2 linked regions of the Rattus norvegicus genome follow. The protein of the gene in region 2 purifies or fractionates together with the protein of the main gene of each other region. This does not show direct contact. Links are inferred from orthologs where the notes say so. Each region holds a gene or a part of one and is shown on either strand. Other genes may lie near its edges. The genes, in order: Sod1 and Hexb.

Region 1 (11,175 bases), on a different chromosome or scaffold from region 2:
CTACTTGGGCTTTTTAAGTCCCTACTAGAATATTTCTGGGAAGATGCTAAAACATGCACCTGACTATTCAAAGCCAGATTCCAAGGACAGACTTGCAGCTTGTATTTCCAACTAAAAATACCGAGAAATGAGCTGATAAACACTGGTTTGTGATTCCACCAGATGCTTCCCAAGTTAGTCTGCATTGAGTCAGGCGCACACACACGCACGCACACACACACACCCCATCAAAACTTCATTAAGGAAATAAGTTATGTATGATTTACCTGAAACTTCAACAGAACTACATACGGATGCATTCCTTATAAGCAATCTTAAATTGGAAATTTAAACTTAAAATTTTTAAACCTGGAAACACTTATTTTTTTCCAATTTTCAGTGTTTTGTATTTGAAAAATTAAGAGGACTATGGTTTACACCAAATTTGTCAGAAATATTTCAGTTGAACTGTTCCAAATAGTCACGAGCCTTTTAGGTTAATATTTCCCTTACAAAGCTCTCTTTCTTGGGATGTATTTATTAAGGTACTCAGTTTCATTAACTGAGGCTGTAAAAGTCGATTTAGCCACAACCGCCAGAACCACTTGGTCTCATCTCCCAGTGCTATGTATTTCCTGAGTGCCAACCTTAAAAAAGCAGGTGGTACCAACTTCACTTGGCAGGTAGAGGAGGTATTAAACTTGGCTAGCTGAGGCTACCTATTTGCCTTTTATGAGTTTTATACAAGTTTACTAAAGGGCTTTATCTTAAATCATGGCTTCTAACTCTAATACGATTTTAAAATAAGGTTAGGTACTCTGAATCTTAAAGAGAGCTTTCAGTAATTTCTGATGATAACAAAGGGCAGAAAATTTTCTAAGATCAAATCCGGTTTGGGCTACCACACGTCATTTTGATGGTATCACATGAAACACTTTCAAAATTAAATACTATGAGAGCCTCATTGAGTCTGTTGTTGATGCTCAGTGTATAGAGCTTAGGTCTTTTTGGTATACATTAATAGGCTTGAAATAAGTCTCTATCTCTCGAGGCTCTAAATAAGTCTCAGTCTCTCTCACACACACACACACACACACACACACACACACACACACACACACACACACACACACACACAGACACACACAGAGAGAGAGAGAGGCTTGAATGAGAATTTCAGCTTAACACCAGTGAGGTCTGGCACAGAAACAACAGATTTTAGTTCAATGAGTTGTACACATTCAGGAAGTTCTACACATCCTCCAAACATCGTCAGTCACCTCTCACTGCAAGTCCTTAGAGCAAGTCAAAGGAGTCACACAGTTAACAACTGTTAAGATTACAGTTTAATGGTTTGGTTTTTTTCTACAGTTTAGCAGGACAGCAGATGAGTCTGAGACTCAGACCACATAGGGAATGTTTATTGGGCAATCCCAATCACACCACAAGCCAAGCGGCTTCCAGCATTTCCAGTCTTTGTACTTTCTTCATTTCCACCTTTGCCCAAGTCATCTTGTTTCTCGTGGACCTTTGAAAAGAATTAAGAACATTTAGGTTTCGGTGATCAAGTAATTAGCACTTCTTCCCAGCAATACTTCAAAGGACCATGTATATTAGAAAATGTTCAAATCTATTAGTAAATCAATAAGCTAATTTTTATGCTATCAGCTAAAAGCAGACTACTAAGTGTTTCCTTGCTCGTGGCTATTTCTAGATGAATACTAAGGACCCAAATAACTACCAGGCACATGCTGATCTTAGCCCTCACCCTCACCCCACTGTACAGTAGTCATTCTTACAAATTTCTCTATCAAAATCTCTTGGTGAGTGAACTATAGGCCTACACATAAGAGGCAATTCTAAATATCTTTACTTAGCAACAAGATTTTAAATTTTATTTTTAGAACATTTATGAATGATTGTTCTGCTTCACCAATAGGGCTGAAGAAAATTCTAAGGATAAAGGGTCAACTGAAAGGAAGTGCCTACTGAAAAGTTAGCTGCCCGAAGTGGGCAAGAGCTTTTACTACTTGGTGTTCTGCATGAACCAGATTCATCTCCCGAGGGTAACTTGGGAAGACGGCTCCCATATGGTAACCAAGCGATAACCTGCAGACTTGAATACTGACATCCATCGCAGATTTTAAGCTCAACGAAATGATTAACTGTAAGGGGGCAATCATGGCAAGAAAATCCAGCTGTTTTAAACTAAAGACTATTGTATCCTCAACTCAGATCCAGTCTGATCAAATGTAACCAGCTTTCTACCGCACTTCAGCAGAACAGCGTTCTTAACTGACCTAGGCAAATTAATTCTTTACTATTACATCCAATAAAATAATATTTTTTCCTATTCTGAACTCTTACCAATTTATGTGATCTTTTAGGAACTAGTTTAACCACCACCACGAAGTCATGGAAAGGTACATAACTATGTTAGAAGAAATCCTACATCTACTACTATATGGAAACTTACCACCATAGTACGGCCAATGATGGAATGCTCTCCTGAGAGTGAGATCACACGATCTTCAATGGACACATTGGCCACACCGTCCTTTCCAGCAGCCACATTGCCCAGGTCTCCAACATGCCTAACATTAAAACAGCACCAGGTGGATAAGCAATGATATCTATTTCACATCAATAGAGTTCAATAGCTAAATTCACATCGAAGTCAAATGCTATGAGTGGATTAAAGAGTGCACATACACTATCAAATATGATGGCTTTTCCAGACAAAGGTCTGGAAACACAAATTTCAAAACAGGTAGCCAGGATACCTTGACACATAGCTCTTCCAGTTTAAAGGAGAGAGCCACAGTCTAGGACTTTCGAAAAGGATGTCAGCTCCTGATTAGCAAAGGTTTGCTCCCAGGCCTCCATTCCAAAAGCAAGCTAGCCCCTCTTTAAATGTAGGACTTTCCTAAGGTTTCACATACAAACGGAATCTCAACTAGTTTTTATTATCTGCATTAGTATATTATACAATGATTTACTTTGCTAGTGACTGATAGTACTGTTATCCATGATATTTTCTGTATTGGTTCCTTTTGGCACTTGTATTAGTTCATCTTCAATAAATGCTACAAAACTAAATCACTTAAGAGTCCACATTTGTCAGCTCCTTCACCCAATATAAACTATTCCAGTACTTGGGGATGTGGGAGTTGGGTGAATGGAAACATACAAAAGAAAAGGCAGTGAGACCACTCAGTTCTGTCTTCAGGTGTTTTCCACAGACCCCTCTCCACCACCATGCATAGAGAGAATGCTGCTCACCTCTCTTCATCCGCTGGACCGCCATGTTTCTTAGAGTGAGGATTAAAATGAGGTCCTGCAGTGGTACAGCCTATTTACCAGAAACCAGCAGTCAGATTATGAAGTAAACCTCTGTATGCAATGACATCGGAATTCTTACAACTTCCAACACAGCAAACATGGAGCTGGTATGTGCTGGAGTGATACAAACAGGAAGCAGCACCCTGGTACAAATAGCTGGACTATATGGCCTTGCATTTTCAAGCTACCCGCTTTTTCACTAGACTGTCATGTTTGTTTGTTTTGAGATTTGAGACAGGGTCTCACTACCACAGCCCATGATATCTGCAGTTAATGACCCTCCTACCTTAGCCTTCCAAGTGCCAGGAGCATGGTAGTGTCACAGCATGTCTAGCTCTGGTTCCTTCCTCTACTGGAACAGAAGCGACCTTTAGTGGCACTTCTAAAGTTAAAGTCCCACATTTAAAGATCTTTGCTTTTAAGATCATGATAAAAACACTTATCTTTCAAGACCTTACACCACCAAACAGCTCAGCCATCTGGCTTTTACTTGGGGCAGACAGATTTTTAGATTATCCCCACGTGTCAAGGCTGCTGTGCTTCTCAACTCCAGGTGTAAACAGCATTAGAGGTGTACATGTGGGCTAAGGGACATCATTCACAAGGGACATCTCAACAGCAACAACAACTCAGGAAATAGGACTTACATAGTTTACAATTTCTACCCAGACCAAGAAATAGGTACAGGGCAGGATTCTGGAAGGAACTTAACAAACCAAAGCTACCAGGCCAGAGGCAAAGCAACTTGATTGAACTTTAGTAATTATCCGAATGGGTCAAACACAAACATAAGTAACTGTAGGCCAAATTACTGTACATTGCACACAGGTTGATGGCCTTTAACCCTGCACATCTAAGACTAAATGGTTTAAGCTCCAGCACAGATTCCAGGCTAGCATGCACTATGTGGGGAGGGGAAAGCAGGGGAGAAGAGGGAAAGGAAGAAAAGGCTCTAGCAACATGAATGAGGCTCTTAAAAGATTATAAACAAACACAGATCATTACTCCAATATGGTAAAAGTTCACTAAATGCAATGTAAGCCACTATATTTTCTGACTTGATTCCAATCCCAAATATAAAAAATTTTACTCTAAGCATTTATATTGAATCTTCAGTTTTTGTCACTTCTGTCCCACTATGCCTCTCGTGCATAGCTGTCCTTAGACACTGTGCCTAAAGCACCCACCCTCAACCCCCAGCTCCAAACACCTCAAAGGATTATCCAAAATAAGGAAGGTGCGTATTTGTTTCTGTATATTAAAGTCAAGCTATAATAATCACATTTAAGAAAATTTACCCTCACCTTCCCACTTAAGGAGTCAAGAAATACTCGATACTAACTAAAATACTTTTGTGGCTATTTTCCGAGGTTGACCTAAGTGGTTATTTTAACTTAATCTAAAAGAAAAAGAAAAAAATTGATGGTTTTAAATGGTTAGTAATTGGTCCTGACTCAGTCCCATTCATCTCACTAGTCAGCCAGGTAGAGATAGATTAAGACTTACCTTGTGTATTGTCCCCATATTGATGGACATGGAACCCATGCTCGCCTTCAGTTAATCCTGTAATCTGTCCTGACACCACAACTGGTTCACCGCTTGCCTTTATTTAAAAAAATACAAAAATTAAGACATCAAGTTTGTGTTAATACTTCTGAATCACAGTAAAAGGCACAAGTCAAAAAACAAAACAAAATCAAACCTATGTCCAAATCCAAGTAGACCCATTTCCTCCAGGGTGACTCTAGAGCTGCTTAGCTCTAGGCCTCTCCCTCCCTACCCATCTTCCCTAACACTTGTTTCCAGATGCACGTGTGCAGACACCTGGACTCAACAGCACTTGAAAAGCACCCAGAGGAACAAAAGGGGGCAGCTCAATGTCAGAACTAGGGAATGGATGGCTACTGCACTGTGTCAGGCTTGATTCTTTCAGAACATTGGCTGCCCAGAAACCTCTACTCCACATTCAGTGATGTTTATCAGTTCCCATAATTTTATCCAGTAGCCAGAAAATAATTGTGTCCTACTGCCTGTGGGGATCCATTTGGGTCTAACCAGAGCTACTTTTTAAAAAAGTCTCATTAGGCATCCAAATCTAGAGAATTTGCTACTTAACAAAAAAGAAAAGAACATCCAAAATTCAAATTTAGTATTACTTCAGAAATTGTAGCAACAGGGAGAAAAGGCAAGACGCAACCAACTGCAACAAACAAGGACACTCATACCGGACCTTTCTACTTTAACTCTCCAACGTTTTCAACAAAATAAGGGACTAGGAACTTTGAGTAGAAAAAAACTGATTTTGAAAAGTTGGCAACAGTTTAAATCAAACAGTTTTGATAGTCAAGTTGTTACAGCTGCCAACCTGGAATGCTTAACTATCGTTTGATCGGGTACAAAGGGCAGCGTCACCAAAGAATGCTGCAAGCTGCTCTGGGAAGGTGGACACTGGGGTAGACCTAGCTAGTCTTCAGCTTTCTCAGGGTGGGGGAAAAGCCCTGTCTCACAGTGAATTATGTGGGAAGAAGAGAAAGACAAAAACAAAAAATTTACACAGGAAAACAACAAAATACATTTAAATGCCAAGAAACTGAGACTAGTTATGAAAAACTCTAAATTCCCGTTATCAGTTCTCCTCATAAAGGAAACACTTGGATTCACTATGGTGTCGGTCTCCTCACATTTATGTAAACCACTTTAGAGAGTACATAACGCTCATTTATCAAATATTTCTCTCGGGATTAAAAGGAGTACAATGTTAACCCCCTAAGGCTCTGAACACGCTCTTAACCACACAAATATCTTCCTTGTGACGCATGTGTTTTTGCAGAACTGCAGTAGTTTCGAAAATATTTCTGTATACTTTTCAAATTGTGCTCAGAGACTCGCTGTCGTAGACAACAACCAGAGTCAGGTCTCTTTCTTGGAGCTCTTGGTGGCAAAACAACTGCCCAAGGCCATCTCTTTTCTTTCCCCCTTGCGGCACGACCCTGACCTAATATAGCCAGGGCTTGGCTTTAAAATGCCACAAATGCGTTCTGCTTGCTGCGTTAGTCCGGTTTGGCACCACCAGGTTCAAATATTCTTACAACAAATGCAGCCGGTGGCCACAAGGGTCTGAGCCCCTGTGGGACAGGGACACCGGAAAAGCAGCAGCCCCAGAGGGATAGCGGATGCCAAGCCCGCTCTCTCGGGCCGGCCCGGCCACTCGGGGGCGCGAAGAGGGACCCGCCCGGAAGGCCCCGCGGCGCCCCGGCCTCCCTCTCCCGCGCCCGGCCCCTGCCTCAAGGCCGCGGTGACTCAGCATTTAACGGGCTCAGGCCGCGGCGGGGGCGTGGCGTGCTCCCGCACAGGTGCCCCGCGTCACCGCGGCCTGCGCCCAGCGCCCCGGGCCTTGCCTTCTGCTCGAAGTGAATGACGCCCTGCACCGGACCGTCGCCCTTCAGCACGCACACGGCCTTCATCGCCATGCTTCCCCGGGAGACGCGCGGCGGCCTCGGAACCTGGGAGAGCAAAAAGCAAGGAGACGACAGAAGCCGCCGCAGGAAACGAAGGTGCAAAACGAGGGCCCAGCGCCGCGGAGCTTTTATATGCCTGCGCCTGGCCACTCCCACCTTGGCAGGGAACCAATCGCTAGCCGCGGTCTCTGCCTACCCTTCCTGAAGTTCCCTGGCCGCGGGGCACGTTGGGGGCGGGGCTGAGGGGAGCGCCAGCTTCAGGAGCTTGCGGACTGAGAAAGTTCCAGAATCGAGACAGAGCTGGGAAAGTCGCTATTGTCTTCTAACTGTGACGTCGGCCGAGTCGCGGCGGAAACCGAGAACCTCGGCGAGGCCTGCGTGCGCGCCTGGAAGGTCTGAAGCCGCTCTGTCTAGAAATGCGGATTGCGACTGACTTTGCAGCGCGCCGCAGTTGCTGTGTGAAAGTTGGGGTGAGCCAAGATGGATGCTCGGTGTAATATGTGTAAGGCCCATGTTCTATCTCCAGACACACCTCTGTGTCTCTGCAGGTTTTTTTTTTTTCTCTGCAGGTTTCTTTTTTTTTGGGGGGGGGTTCTTTTTTTCGGAGCTGGGGAATCGAACCCAGGGCCTTGCGCTTCCTAGGCAAGCGCTCTACCACTGAGCTAAATCCCCAACCCCTCTCTGCAGGTTTCTAATTCCTGGGCACATACCACGTTACTTATTCTTCACTAATGTTTTTGTTACTGGTACTGGGGATTTGACATACACACACCCCTCGTGACAGACATGTGCTCTGCCAGTTAGACACACCTCCTTTTAAAAATATCACACCGTGTATACCTTTGGCTATCACAGAACTCATTATGCAGACCAGGCTGACCTCAAACTCACAGGGCTCTCCCTGCCTCTGCCTCTGCCTCCCAGTTGCTGGGGTTAGAGGCGTGTACCTGGCTTTCTTTTAACTTTAGAGATAGGGACTAAACTTCCATTTGAGATCCTCCTGTCTCAGCATCCCCAATAACTAGAATTGCTCGTCTGCCCCACCATCCCCAGCTGGTGTTACTTGCATAGTAACATTCTGTATCCTCTTGCCTGTTTGAAGTGGTTCTCAGACAGCCATGCGCTGGAGAACAAGATGCCTGATGAAGTCATTTGTGAAACCTCCATGCACTGGGTGAGACATAGTGCTTCAAGGAAGATATTTTCTAAGACGGTATGGAATGAGCAAAAGGTACAAACTACAAAAAAAGGTGGGGAGACATCACCATATATTTACTTGAGTTCTCAGAAATGTCTAGAAAGATATATGGGGAGTCCCTGGAGCCAAGAAAGGGTATCAGTAAGAGAGAGAATTCTTAACTAAAAACAGAATTGTCTCTTTTTAAAGTTGTTTCTTTCTTTTTTTTTTTTTTTCCGGAGCTGGGGACCGTTAAAGTTGTTTCTCAACTAAAAAAGAAAACTGTCTCTTTTTAAAATTGAAATCTCTGTGGTCTCCCAAGAGCTCATGCATAAAACTGCATGTTCTGCTACACTCAGGAGGCAGGATTTAATTCTGAGGATGGCAAAATACCGAAACCTAACTCTAGGCCAGAGAAACAGGAGGAACTGATTGGCTACACTGGGATACAGTTACTTATGTAGACCCCTGGGCTCTGCTCTATGACTATCCTGGAGAGTCTTATTTCTTTCTTTTCTTTTAAATATGTCTTCAGACACACCAGAAGAGGGCATCGGATCCCATCACAGATGATTGTGAGCCACCATGTGGTTGCTGGGAATTGAACTCCAGGACCTCTGGAAGACCAGTCAGTGTTCTTAACCGCTGAGCCATCTCTCCAGCCCTGGGAGTCTTACTTCTATTTACCACAGACAGAAAAGGTACTGAACAAACTGAAGAAATGACAATTCTGCCCAAATTCAGTATGGCAGATAAACAAGTTTATTTGGGTTACTTAGGGGAGCATAGGTGGACACAGACACTACACCACAGAAGAGCCTCATCTCTCAGCAATTGCTAACCACTTGCATGCCTTCAGAGAGGGTAGGGCCTCCTGGGTAAATGTTAGTTGGTCGGATATTGTGAGGGCCTGGGAGTAGAAGTCACTCTTACAACTCGCTAGGCAGTGATGGTCACATATCCAACTGAAGGAAACAGGCACATAGCCGGCCCAGGTGTGTCTTCTGTGAGAGATACACAGTTCACATTTTTTCTTGAGGCACTCCAGTCACGTTTTGTCATCTTTCAGATACGTACCCTGCCGCTTCCTTACTGATCACACTTAAGGCCGTATTAGACCATTGTTAAATACGTCTATGTAAGGTAAAAGGCTTACATATCTGTGGTTGTCCTTATTCTCACTAGTATTCTCCAGATGACTTGCATGCATACGGAAGAATTACATAAGCACAAATCCCAGCCAAAGGGCCTTTGTCCAAAGCCAGACTTTCTTTGGGTTCCAGGAAGTTAGAGAGTTGGATTTCAGTCCATTGTAAACCTGCCGAGAAAGCAGGCCATGGGTACAAAGGGCCTCCCTCAGACAATGATTACTACTCTTGAAGCGCTCAAACTGAGCTGCAGTGGTATCTTGTTTGGAGGCTGGAAAGCCAAGCAAGGGCTTCCCATTCCACAGGAGTAGAGAGTTGGGCCGCCTTCCAGGACAATGGGGTCCCCAGCAGGGCTATAGAAGTCTTGTACCCTTCCTAGGGCAGCATCTGCCCCATGAAGCCCAAAAACGTACCTCCACCTAGGACCTCACCTGTCCTCCAAAAACAGGATTTGAGAATCTTAATGGTTGGATACTTAATGGTGTTTGTGTTCTACAACCTTGGTGCTGTTGACATCTTTGGCTAGACAATGTGGCAGTGGCCCCGTGCATCACAGGATGCTTGTAACATCACGCCTGCTTCTCACAACACACAGGAAGCATCCTTCCCTTTGCCCCCAAGCTCCAAGTTAAGTTGTCCCATTTTGTGACAACTGAAAATGTCTCCATACATTACCAAGTCGTCTTTATCAGAGCTGGGTGTCTAGGGGTTAGACCTGGGTCCTTGTACATAGTAACCATGGGTTCTACCACTGATCTGTAACCCTGGCCTGAGAACTTCTGTTTTAGAACACTAATGCCCAAATCATTGCCCTATATGGTTTCCAGGGCCTAAACAGACAAAAAGGAGAGTGTCACTAAAGATACACAGCTGGGCTGGCCATAGGCCTCTCAGTGTGATGAAGAACCAGGAGTAAGGAAAGAGAAAAGGCCAGAAGCAAGCAGCGAGCTCTACCCTGCTACATACACTCTGCTACCCAGAACTCAAAGTCCAAGAATTCCAAATTTGAACTTGCCTTTTGGTGACTTGCAAAAGTGTATTTGTTAAGGCAGGATGCTAGGATGTAATTGTGACATATGACATCGGTTTGGGGGAAGGCATATGTCATCTAAATGTTTAATGTATCAGACAATGTATCCCAACTTTGATATTCCAAAGTCCTATGGCTTCGAGCTATCCTGACTCTTAATCTAGTCAGTCCAGTTATTTTGATCTGGGATTAGGAAGGAGCATGGATAGCGTGAAATGTTTCCCCCTGTTCCAGACTGCTTCCACTGAGAGCCGTCATCTCCAGAAATCAAAGTCCTACAGCAGTGTAGTCTCCCACCCTGTTGGTTACACGCTGGATTGTGGCTTGAGTCTGATTGTCAGAGTAAGGGCAGTCCATCCAGAGACACTGGTTTCCTCAGGAATGGTGGTGAGATGTTTTTGTGGTACTGGGATTGCTCAGGGGGCCAGGCAGGTGCCATGCCATGAGCTCCACACTCTGCTCTGTTCTCACTTCTTACTGATTTGCCCAGACCAGCCTGGAACTGAGCTGTAGTCCAAGCAGCCCTTAGTCTGTGATGTTCCTCCTTTAGCCTGCAGAATGGCTAGATTACCGATCTATTCTGGCTTGACTTAGTAGGCTTCCGTGTGTCCTGAGAGTTGCATGGAGTTACTCTGTGGAGTAAGGGGTGGGTAGAGGCAGACCAGGAGCTCACGCTTACATTTCCAGTTTTCCTCCTCCTCCTGTGGAGACAGTTCTTCCCAGTCCCCTTTTGTTTCACCTTTCTCCTTCCCTAAAGAACTTGTCTCCTGTGACTCAAACCGTTTCTGTCTGGGCAACATTCTCAGTCATTTGTAGATTTTGTGTAAATCTGCAGATCACAAGCCTGTGACAGAGGGATTGTCACCAAGGCCTTTGTCCCAACACCCTTGGTAAGAACATTCTTTTTTTTTTTTTTTTTTTTTTTTTTTTTTTTTTCTGGAGCTGAGGACCTAACTGAGGACCTAGCAAGCGCTCTACCACTGAACTAAATCTCTAACCCCAGAACATTCTTTTATACGAACTGCAGGACAATATCAAAAC
Region 2 (10,768 bases):
GCTTAACGTTGGGCTTTAATGTAAAAGACAATGGAAATCTAATATTAATTTCAATTTATTTTTAAAGGTTATTTTATATATGTGAGCACTCTATCTTTATGTACAGCTGCACTCCAGAAGAGGGCATCAGATCCCATTACAGATGGTTGTGAGCCACCATGTGGTGGCTGGGAGTTGAGCTCAATGCTCTTAACCCACTGAGCATCTCTCTAACCCTTAATTTCAAATTTTTGAGTTTGTTCAAATAATATTGCTTTCATTAAAAAACTAAATCCATCTTATTGAACAGCAGATTTAGGCTAAGCATCTTCCCTCTCAAAGTATTAGGCATTATCACCTGAGTTGTCCTTGAATCACGTGGCCTTCTGCTTCTTGCCTTAGTGACCTACCAGAGCTGATCAACCCGCATGCTGTTTCCCAGTGTGGGAGTACCCTAGTCTAGCACTGGAGAGTAAAGGGGGTGACCGTGAAACCCTCAAGCACCAACGAAGGCTTGACTGTGTTCTGGGAACAATGAAGACTAAGTGTTTTGAACAGTGAAGTGTAGTCAGAGCACAGAAGTGATTGGCATGGAAAGACAGGAACTAGACTATGTCTGAATTAGGATACCAGCAACAGGCATAGGAATACTGGTGTTTACTGGGAAAAGGAAATCAGAGAAGTATATATAAGCAAACTGAAAACTGCTAATGCCATCAGCAAATAAGAAAGGCCAGAGAAGTGCTTGGAAAAGAAAAGCTGAGCCATGTTTGGGGCACACTGGGGAACTGGAGTGTAAACAGGCTGCCCCACCACAGGCCAGTGAAGGGCAGGACCAGAGTCCCCAGAGAAGGTCTGGAACTGCTCTTGAAGCCACACTGAATCTGGTTTTGAAGCTCTGCAGTGAGGTACTGTTCAGAAAGAAGGATGGAGGGACAGTTCAGGGAGTCCAGTCTCTAATGGTAGCATTTTTTTCTCTTAGATTTACCTTTTCCCCACATGATTATTATATCTTGAAACATTCTCAGGTTCCTTATGTGGCGTATGAAGTCTAAGATTATAAACCGTAATACAAGAAAGGACTTGCTTGTAGACAGTCTTGACTACTGGCTTTGTTGCTGGCTTGTTAAAGTGTTCTCCTTTCCTGCTGTCTCCAGCATGCGGCCACCAGTGCAAGTACTGACTTCTTGGTTCCTTATGCGATGCTCTCTGGGGGACGTTAAAGCCAGTGAGCTTCCCAGAGCCCTCTGCTCAGGAATACAGGAAGTAGTTCAAGGCTGTTTACATCTTCCTTGAACTGGAATAGAAATTTGTTCATCTTATGAAATCTCTTTAGGCCCTGAAGAAAGCTGACAAGCAGGTGCTGGAACCTCTGATGAGTCTTGAGGTCACAGTGAGTAGAGAGTACCTCAGCCCTGTCCTGGCCGATTTGGCACAAAGAAGAGGGAACATTCAGGAAATTCAGACTCGCCAAGACAACAAAGTTGTTCTAGGATTTGTTCCTTTAGCAGAAATTATGGTGAGTTATTTGCGTTTGAAATGTACACATTGTTTACTACAGGAGACGTAGTGTGAGTGAAGCTAGAATCACTGACACTGTGGGCATCACACTTGGGTGTAGAGAATGCACACCAAGTTCTCAACCACCATGGATGAGAAACCTTGGCCTTGAGTGGTGGCTGAGAACTCGGGAACACTGCATTGCAGGCAGGTTACTTCCAACCACAGGACCACATAGACTAAGGTACAGTGTGCCAAAATGTGTCAGTCTGTTAACTGTCTTACCCTGCTTCCATGCATCTTTCCTTTTCTGCTAGGTTTTGGGGCCAGCATCATTCTCTTCCCCAACCGGGCACTTCTGCCCCTAGGAAAGGCATGAGGGATACTGACAGGCAAGGAGGAAGGACAGAGTTAATCACCAGGGGCCTCAGAACACGTACACAGCTGGCCTTCCCCATGCTAAGGTTTTGCCATAGTATTTCCCTTTTCCTTCATTTTGAAAACCTCTCTGGAGGTGGTGGTACTTACCACCTCCTTCTCTTCTATGGGCTAAAAGATAATCCACAAGATGTAAGAAATGGAAGGCTTAAATTAAGTACAGTAACAAACTGAATTTTTTTCATTAGGGATATTCAACTGTGCTTCGAACCCTGACATCAGGCTCAGCTACTTTTGCCTTGGAGCTGTCTACTTATCAAGCCATGAGTCCACAAGACCAAAGGACTCTGCTCAGCCAGAGAAGTGGTTTGGCCCGTATGCTGTAGGCCCTTGGAAACGGGGAAAGCTGGGCACTTGCCAGCTTCATTCTCAGTGAGAATGCTGTTCTATTAACTGGCTGGTAAACTGCTGCTTCGCCCTGTGGAAAGAACTTGAACAAGACATGGAAGAATGGCATTGGAGCTGCCATCCTAAGACTGTTGAACCTGCTCTGCTGTAACGCACCACGGCTGGGCCCTGGTTGTCTCTCACCTCTCTGGTGCGGTGATAAAATAACCCAGTCAGGGCAGCTTATAAAAGGGTTTCTTTTCTCAACAGGAAGCTGAGATAGTCCTTCTTTAACCTCAAGCACAGAGTAGAGTGTAGACTAGATGTAGGGCCAGGCAGTGAATTCTCCAAGTTCACCTAGTGATGAACTTCCTCAGGCTACGCCACCTAAACTCCCCAAACAGCACGCTCCCTGGGAACCAAGAGTCTTTTGCCTACATGGAGGCCTGGTGCCTGTGGAGGTCAGATGTAGATGTTATGCCTCTCCCCCACCAAACTGGAATTATGGTGTGGTTATGAAGAACTGAACTCTGGTCCTCTGCAGGAACAAGTGTTCTTAAATACTTGAGCCTTCTTTCTGGCCCACCATTTCTCATTTAACCATTGCAGTGATGAGAGTACCATGCAGTGCTGGAGTTCTGAGTAGTAGTGCAAAGCTTTTTCTTTTATTTTTTTTAAGCTGCTCACATAAAAGATGTCAGTATTCAGTGTTTGATTCAGATATAGAAAGATTCAATCAATAAAAAGATAGTTTATTTAAAAAATAGCCTAACAAATATTAATTTACATGATTTCAGAATCAACATGATTAGAGCTGTAGTGCTGTAGACTTCTGTCACTTTTCCATTTTATTCTCGTAGTTACAATATCCAGTAAAGAGAGGTTGTGCAGCTATTCCGCGGCTGTAGACAGATAGACAGAGATGTTTTAGATGGGTGGCACCTTAGCAAATCCCCCACCTTTCGCAGTGATTTAATATTCTTTTTTTTTTTTTCTTTTTTTTCGGAGCTGGGGACCGAACCCAGGGCCTTGCGCTCGCTAGGCAAGCGCTCTACCGCTGAGCTAAATCCCCAACCCTGTGATTTAATATTCTAATCCAAGCTACTAACTCCTTTAAGATGGCAGTTATTCTAAAATACATCTTACAGGGGTTATTCTCCTGCAACAATGAGTGCAGTTTCTACCAATTAAATCATTAGTTCCTGGGTAACATTTTTATTTATTGCAAAACAAAAAGCTGAAGAAACTAGTTAACACTGAATGCTGGACTTCAGTACGAGATCCTGGATCGGGAAGGAAGTGTCTCACCTGACCATTCTACAGCGGTGCACTGCCAGTCGTCTGTAGGCGTTTTCCAGGTTGGTGATAATTCTAGGGCTCCAGAGCCTCTCACCAACAGCGCTTGCCCGAGGCCTGAAATTTAAAATATGTGGCTCCCAAAGCAGTTTAGATTTCTTTTGTCACCTATATAAGGAGATTCTCAAGAGCTCTCCTGCATACATGTATAATAAAAGCCAAGGCAGCCTTCAGGCCACTCGGCGCCCCTTGAATGCCTTACCATAGTCTTGGAATAAGGTTAGTTGCATCCACATATTCTCCCCATAGGCAAGCCTCTCCACCAATAACAAGTTGTTTCTGCTTCTCCGAACCTGCGTTACAATGGTTAAGGGACAGAGGTTAAGCTGTACAACACTGGTTTCCTTCCTAGAGTCATCCTACCACACCGCTCCATACCCTCCTGTAGGCAGCAGAACCTTTATTCCCACCCTGGCTCAGTGCTATTCAACATAATGGAGGGTTGTGGTGGGCTTGTGGTAGAGATGCTTTCCTAGGTCCTACACAGACTCGTGTGGACACTGCGTTCAACCTTTCCCTGCATCTCCTGTTAGTGGTGTGCCAGAAATCATAAGATGGAATATTAGCTTCATTTTAAGACTTAGATTTAGGAGGAGAGAACGGGAGTTATGGAAGAAACCAGCAGCCATGATGTCTGCTTTGCTTACCTTCAAAGTTAAGGGGCTCCGCTTTATAGTAGTTTCTCCAGTCTTGCCCGTAGCTGATCAGGTCTAAGTACCAAGGAGCAGAAAGGATGGCAGGGAAGCCGGATGCTGTGACTTGTGCTAATTCATTTAAGTAATTTTCACTTTTCCACACTTCAACTACCGTGCCCGGCTGAAGCTATTAAAGGCATTAGGTCCAGTCAATACAGTCTCACAGGTTTATGGGATCATGATTGGTAAACATACATTTCTAAGATCTTAGAAAAATCCTACATCCTTTTTTTCTTTTTGCTAATGGTCAGTGACATGTGTTATTCAAATTAACCTTTAAAGCTGAATAATTAACTTCTGTCTATAGCTAATACCTCAGAGACGGGTAAGATTTGTACCTTAGACCTATTTCTACCACACTGATGTTGTACTTAACTTGGAACAATGAGATTGTCACCAGCCCCCTAGAAAGGTAATGCTGGGGTCTTGTGAGAGATAAGTCTATCAGAAAAAATATTCCGGGGTTGGGGATTTAGCTCAGTGGTAGAGCACTTGCCTAACAAGTGCAAGGCCCTGGGTTCGGTCCCCAGCTCTGAAAAAAAAAAAAAAGAAAAGAAAAAAAAAAAAAAAGAAAAAATATTCCTTAAAAGTGTATACTGATTTACCTATTTATTATGTATATAGCATTCTGCCTGTGTATATGCCTGCACATCAAAAGACAGCATCAGATCCCATTACAGATGGTTGTGAGCCACCATGTGGTTGCCGGGAATTGAGGACCTCTGGAAGAACAGACAGTGCTCTTAACCACTGAGCCATCTCTCCAGCCCTGATTTTACATATTTTAAAACTACTAACACTATTTTTTAAAAGCTCATTTGTTGTGTTTTGCTCTTAAAAGCAAAAAGGAAATTAATTCATATTACTTCAACTTGTAAGACAGCAGGGGTTGGGGATAGAAGGGAGAAGGAAACAGCAGCGTGTGTGTGCGTGTGCATGGGTAGGTTGGCCACCTGCTCTGAGCCCCTGATTCCCCTGAGGAAGGCTCTCACTGAACCTGGAGCTGTACTGGAGGCTAGCAAGTCCCGGCGCCTGGCAGTGTTCAGCTTACAGGCACACATGTCAGCAGGCTGATGGCTGATCAGTTTTGGTCCTGTCTGACCACTGCACTGCACTGTCTGTTGGAGACTGAGATAATGTTCATCTCCTTGAGTCTGTAGCAAACAGAGAACAATGAGCCCTTCAGCCCTCCTCTGTCCATCTGTCCTGACTGCTGATGGAACATTCAACTCTGAAAACAGGTGTCCCAGTCAGGTCCTCAGGCTGGGATGGCAAACAGCCCTACCACAGAGTGGTCACGGTTCTTACCTCCACTTGATCATCAAAAACGTCTTGCCAAACAATGGAGCTCTTCTTTAAGGATGTGATAATATCCAAAATCCTAACATTGAAGACGTGGACTGTTACTTGGATCACCAGGTTAGCTCTCCTAAACCCTGTGTGTTTTCTACCCAGAACATGCCATGTTCCCTTATACCTTATAGTACCTCTTTAAACAGTGTAGCAGAATTCTCATTAATGGTGCGCATAGCCACTAATGAGACACTCACTCTTCTCAGATGTAGCTGCACTTCTGATCAAGCTCAGACTGTCCCAGAATGACTTGTGAGACCCTGCCACACATGAATAGAGGTCCCTCAGGGAACGCCTCGGGCGAACAGCCTCAACACGGAACTTCCTTCCTATCCTCTTTATAGAACCGTGGTTCTCAACCTTCCTGATGCTGCAACCCTTTAGTATAGTTGCTCATGTTGTGGTGACCACACCATAAAACTATTATTGTTGTTACTTCATAACTAATTTTGCTACTGTTATTAGTCATAATGTAAGTAGCTGATATTTCCAATGGTCTTAAAGGGGTCACAACCAACAGGTTAAGAGCCACTGGTATAGAAGAACCAAGTAAAGCTGGGTAGCAATTCACATAGCAACTCTCATGCTTTGGGACCTAGTGTAGTAGGTACTGTCTCTGAAATAGGGAGGGGTCTCAAACTCATAAAACTGTCCCAACAGAACTCTAGTAATCTCTTGGGTTTCCAAAGATTTCTTGGAAGAAAGGAAACTGGTCAGTTGTTAGCTGGCACAGATTAGCATTTAGGCAGTAACAAACACTTGAATGTCACACAGAAGCTTAATAGGAACGGTGTCAACTCTGAGCATCCCAAATGGATGGAGCAGAGTAGAGCTGCGAAGCTTTCCCTTTTTCTTTTTAAAAGAGATTTGCAACTCCACATGGCCCATGATGCCTAAGGGTGGTCTGGTCCCTATGGGGAAAAATGTGCTGATTCCTAGAGAACAGACTGTCCACCAAACTTTTGGGAAGTGGTCTGTCTGTGTTTTCTAACAAGGCAGCCACCACTTCAGTACCAATTCCCTGGCTGTGGAATGTTGGAAATGTCACTGCACTGTGTAAGGAGCAGAGATGCCCCAGGTCACTCAGGACAAAGGGAGTGAGTTCCAGCCCCTGGATAGTGCAAAAGACAAAGGGCAGCCAGAGCTCCTAGCAGGCGCATGGCTTCTCCCTCTATTTCAGTAGTTACTGCAAAATGCTTACTGCCTCCTAGGTGTTCTTGGCTCCACTCTTGCAAGCAGTGGGGAAGATGAGAAGTAAAGCAGAGAGCTAAGTCGCAGCTTGGACTTGTATGAAAACAGTGGTGATTAGGCTTTCAGATGACTTACTTTTTGATATAAAAGGATTCTAGTCTTCTAAAATTGTTGCCAAAGCCCTTTTTCTTCATGAAATTTTGGATGTTTGGGTTTGATGCCCTTAAATAAAACAGTGGGATGTTATAAACATTTTGATGTGCCCAGCTGATTATTTGAAGCAGCATGCATCTCTAACAGCAGTCATACAAAATGTTAGGTATTCAAAGGGAGTCTGAATCTTTTAGTGCAAAGTATTTGTTCCAGAAATGATTTCCCATTAGAAAAAAACAAACCCCAAAGGCTTTCCTTCCATGTCCACCCTCCATCCCAGGCACTTTACAAAGCTGAGAACTCTTACTTGAAACTGTGTCCCTACTTATTGTTCCCTTTCCACCACCAAAACTCATCTCATCCTAGTTTTTCAGGTTTCTTGAGACAATCACACTATAGTCGGGGTTGACCTTGAACTCGAAACACTCCACATCCATCCTCCTGAGCAGAGGGATTAAATACGCACCACCAAGACTGGTTACAGATTCCTTCTTCTTTTTCCCTTGAGTCAGTGTCTTACTCTATAGCTCAGGCTTGCCTTTCACCTTGGTTATAGGCATGAGCCAACATGCCCAGCTCCTACTTGATTTTCTTCCCTAAGCCTTACCTTGTTATTCCTCTCCAATGCACATATTTTAGTAATTAAAGCCCTACAAGGATTTTTACCACAAATTACCCCCTTTTAATGTGGATCCTGTATATTGATACTTTCAGAACGAAAACTGAAAAAAAATAAAGGTTTAGGGTTACCATACCAACATTCAAATTCCACTTCATCTCCTCCCAAGTGGATAAACTGGTCTGGAAACACCCTGCTGATTTCTTTGAAGAATGTGTCAAAGAATACGTATGTTGTATTTAGACTTGGGTCTACAGGTCCAACCTTTTGAGTTCTAATTTTTTGAATGAAACATGGAGTTAGAAGGTTTTTCTGACCTAGAAGAAAACAATTTATTTTTATGAGAACATCAATCACGAAGACCTGAATTTGCACATCTTTATGCTATAGATGGTCCTCCCCTTACAATGGTGTTGAATCCCAATAAATCCCATAAGCGAGGTGAAAAAATAGTAAAACAATGCATTTGACAAACTAATCCAAGTGTAACTCAGCTGCACAGCGTACTGTGCCATCTGCGTGTGCGTCTGCTTCCTGGGGCTCCTCAATCATAATATTAACCTGGGAAAGATCAATATCAAAGCATAGTTTCTATTGAGTATGACCTACTCTGATTCCATTATAACAGGAAACACTGTAACCCTTGAGCATCTGGACATTATACTGTTGACACTATAGAAATTTTATAGAGAGAAGACAACCGCATTTGCCAGTATTCACTTAGTTTCTCCCCAGGAAGACAAGAGCTGCTTTCACAGGTCTCCTTTGCTGCTTTTAGCAGACTTTGAGGGCTTATCCTCTTCACAGACTACCAGCGACTCTCAAATTTTTTCTTGAACTCCAATGCATAGTTAAATTCTCTGCTCCATACAAATAGAAACCATAGCTGCCTCTCAATATGATCTAACAAAACCCAAACTCTCGGTTTGTCTCTGCTTCCTGACTGGTCTGCCTGTGGGCCTCGACACTGTAACTCCTGAGTCCTGAGTCGGTGGTTACTGAGTTCCCTGAATGCAACATTTCCATTTCACCCTCCCAGTGTAGGACCCCCATGTCTTCTCTTTCCAATCTGTTACTTTCACAAAGGTTTTCCCTAAGTGGGACCCGAATCATGTTACTTCTCCACTCAGAGGTTTGTACTGGTGTCCAGGGCATGCTGCTAAAGCCCACAACTGTCCCCAGGAACCTCAGTGATGCCTTTCCAATTCAGTTCCCATTGTTTCCCATGTTTCCCATGATACTACTATGTACTTAACAATTATAAATGCTGGGTCCCATGCTGTATACTTTCTGTCGTTTATTTGGTGCTCAGAAATGTTAGCCCTCTTTTATAGATGGGGAAACTGGAGGTTCACCTCCAAATGACAAAATCAGGAAGCACACATGAACAGGTGGCTCCTAGAATTTGTTCCACGCCGTTCCCACTCATACTCTCTCTGCATCCCTTTCCTCTCGCTGTTCTCTCTGCCAGAACTATGAGCACATTCTGTGCTCTCCCCAAAGCGTGCATGTCAATCAATAACATGGAGTTAAGTCACCATGCTCTACTTATAATGCAGTGTTCTGCCTCACCCAACTGTGATACTCAAGGCAGGACCTAGACAGTGACGGTGAAGGGACACAAAATAGTTCATTGCATCTGTAGCACTTGTGCTCCCACTGCACAAACAACAGTTAAAAACAAAACCACCAAACTGTTAAGAGGCAAAGACCCCCTTTCCAACCTGTAAGTCAATCTCCTTACCTTTCCCCCAAGACTGTGTATGGCCGGGGCTATCGAATTCTGGTATGACTCGAATCCCTCGGAGCCGGGCATATTCAAGTACCATATGGATGTCGTTTGGTGTATAGACATGAGACAAAGAATAGCTTCCCTGTAATATTTAAGTTAAGATGTGCAAGATGGATTTGGTCCTGAAAACTTTGCTGGACCGTTTCTCTGTTATCACCGAGTATTAAACAGACCCACCTAACACTGGGTGATTCGTGGTTTCAGAACAGAAATCAATAGAAATGGTGTGAATTTCTGCCCATTGAATTCAGGATTCACTGATGGGACACTGCCCTTTTCAAGTTCAGAATCAAAACTCACCCATTATTATAAAACACAGACTTTTCTCTTTCAAGTTCTTTAATTACAATGACCTAAAAACCCATTCTCCCCCCCCCAAAAAAAACAGTAAGTAACTTAATTGTGTTTAAATATTTTTTAAATCCCCCCCCCCCCCAGCTGAGGACCGAACCCCAGGGCCTTACGCTTGCTAGGCAAGTGCTCTACCACTGAGCTAAATCCTCAACCCTGTGTTTAAATATTAACTCAGTCTCTCTGTGTCAGTTGACGAATTAGTGTTCCATATCGGTTGTAAATAACGACAAAGACAAGGTTTGGCACACGTCTCACAGTACAGATTCTGATTGCTGAAATCATCTTGACCTTTAAACCCAGGTCAAAATATAAGGGCGTGCGTTGATTGATACTGTGGAAGTAACCAGCCAAACCAAGGCAGTGCAGAGAGGCAGGGACACCACATTCTGTTGGTTTCCGTTGGTTCTTCAATAACAATAATTTACAAGAAATAAACTAACAGGCCATCCTCAGCTACACGGCAAGTTCAAGGCCAGCCTGAGAGAGAGGAGTCACTGGTTCTTGTTTTGCTATTGAGAGGCCTCTCTGTGTAGTCCCAGCTGTCCTGGAACCCACTATGTTGACTAAGCCTGTCTAGAACTTAGTGCCTCTGTGGCCCTAGATGCATGGACCTGAGATCCTGTCTTAACAAAAACGTATCCTACTTTTTGTGTGTTTTTAGGGGGAAAAAAAAGGTCATTTACATGTTTTCAAACCTATTTAAAATAAATATTCTACCATGCAACTGGATGTCTTCACTGGTCTTCATGAACTGCTCAGGTCTTCTACCTTAAGCTTCTAAATTATGTATGCCGTTCCCAGAGATTATGTTCATAATAACATTGATAGTAACAATCTGATTAATATTTATAACAACTACAAAGACGTATGGAAATAAAATGCTAAGCAACAAGCTGAAAACATTTTAAACCACAAATGCCTGGTTACCCTTTGGTTCCATTTCTAAGCAAACCACGGGGGCTACAATCTTCTAGCGAAGCTATGCCAGAGATTTTCGTACAGACAAGGACA

What was found.
Region 1: the proteins of Hexb (region 2) and Sod1 purify together in Homo sapiens (affinity purification with mass spectrometry; 3 studies listed by BioGRID and IntAct, with this or other methods). This does not show direct contact. The link is inferred for Rattus norvegicus from reciprocal best matches to the Homo sapiens genes HEXB and SOD1.

What each region holds. Positions count from the first base shown.
Region 1 is NC_086029.1:42,938,532-42,949,706, reverse strand, and holds Sod1 (superoxide dismutase [Cu-Zn]), read right to left. Parts: upstream 6,885-11,175; 5' UTR 6,792-6,884; coding exon 6,720-6,791; intron 4,925-6,719; coding exon 4,828-4,924; intron 3,332-4,827; coding exon 3,262-3,331; intron 2,574-3,261; coding exon 2,456-2,573; exon of another isoform or gene 2,454-2,455; intron 1,508-2,453; coding exon 1,400-1,507; 3' UTR 1,308-1,399; downstream 1-1,307. UniProt on the Homo sapiens protein: Destroys radicals which are normally produced within the cells and which are toxic to biological systems.
Region 2 is NC_086020.1:30,215,721-30,226,488, forward strand, and holds the end of Hexb (beta-hexosaminidase subunit beta precursor), read right to left. Parts: intron 9,486-10,768; coding exon 9,356-9,485; intron 7,929-9,355; coding exon 7,748-7,928; intron 7,092-7,747; exon of another isoform or gene 7,062-7,091; coding exon 6,975-7,061; exon of another isoform or gene 5,677-6,974; coding exon 5,604-5,676; exon of another isoform or gene 4,423-5,603; coding exon 4,248-4,422; exon of another isoform or gene 3,894-4,247; coding exon 3,803-3,893; exon of another isoform or gene 3,658-3,802; coding exon 3,553-3,657; exon of another isoform or gene 3,147-3,552; coding exon 3,080-3,146; 3' UTR 2,888-3,079; downstream 1-2,887. Other genes in the region: Gfm2 (ribosome-releasing factor 2, mitochondrial), read left to right, coding at 1,316-1,498, 2,106-2,243. UniProt on the Homo sapiens protein: Hydrolyzes the non-reducing end N-acetyl-D-hexosamine and/or sulfated N-acetyl-D-hexosamine of glycoconjugates, such as the oligosaccharide moieties from proteins and neutral glycolipids, or from certain mucopolysaccharides.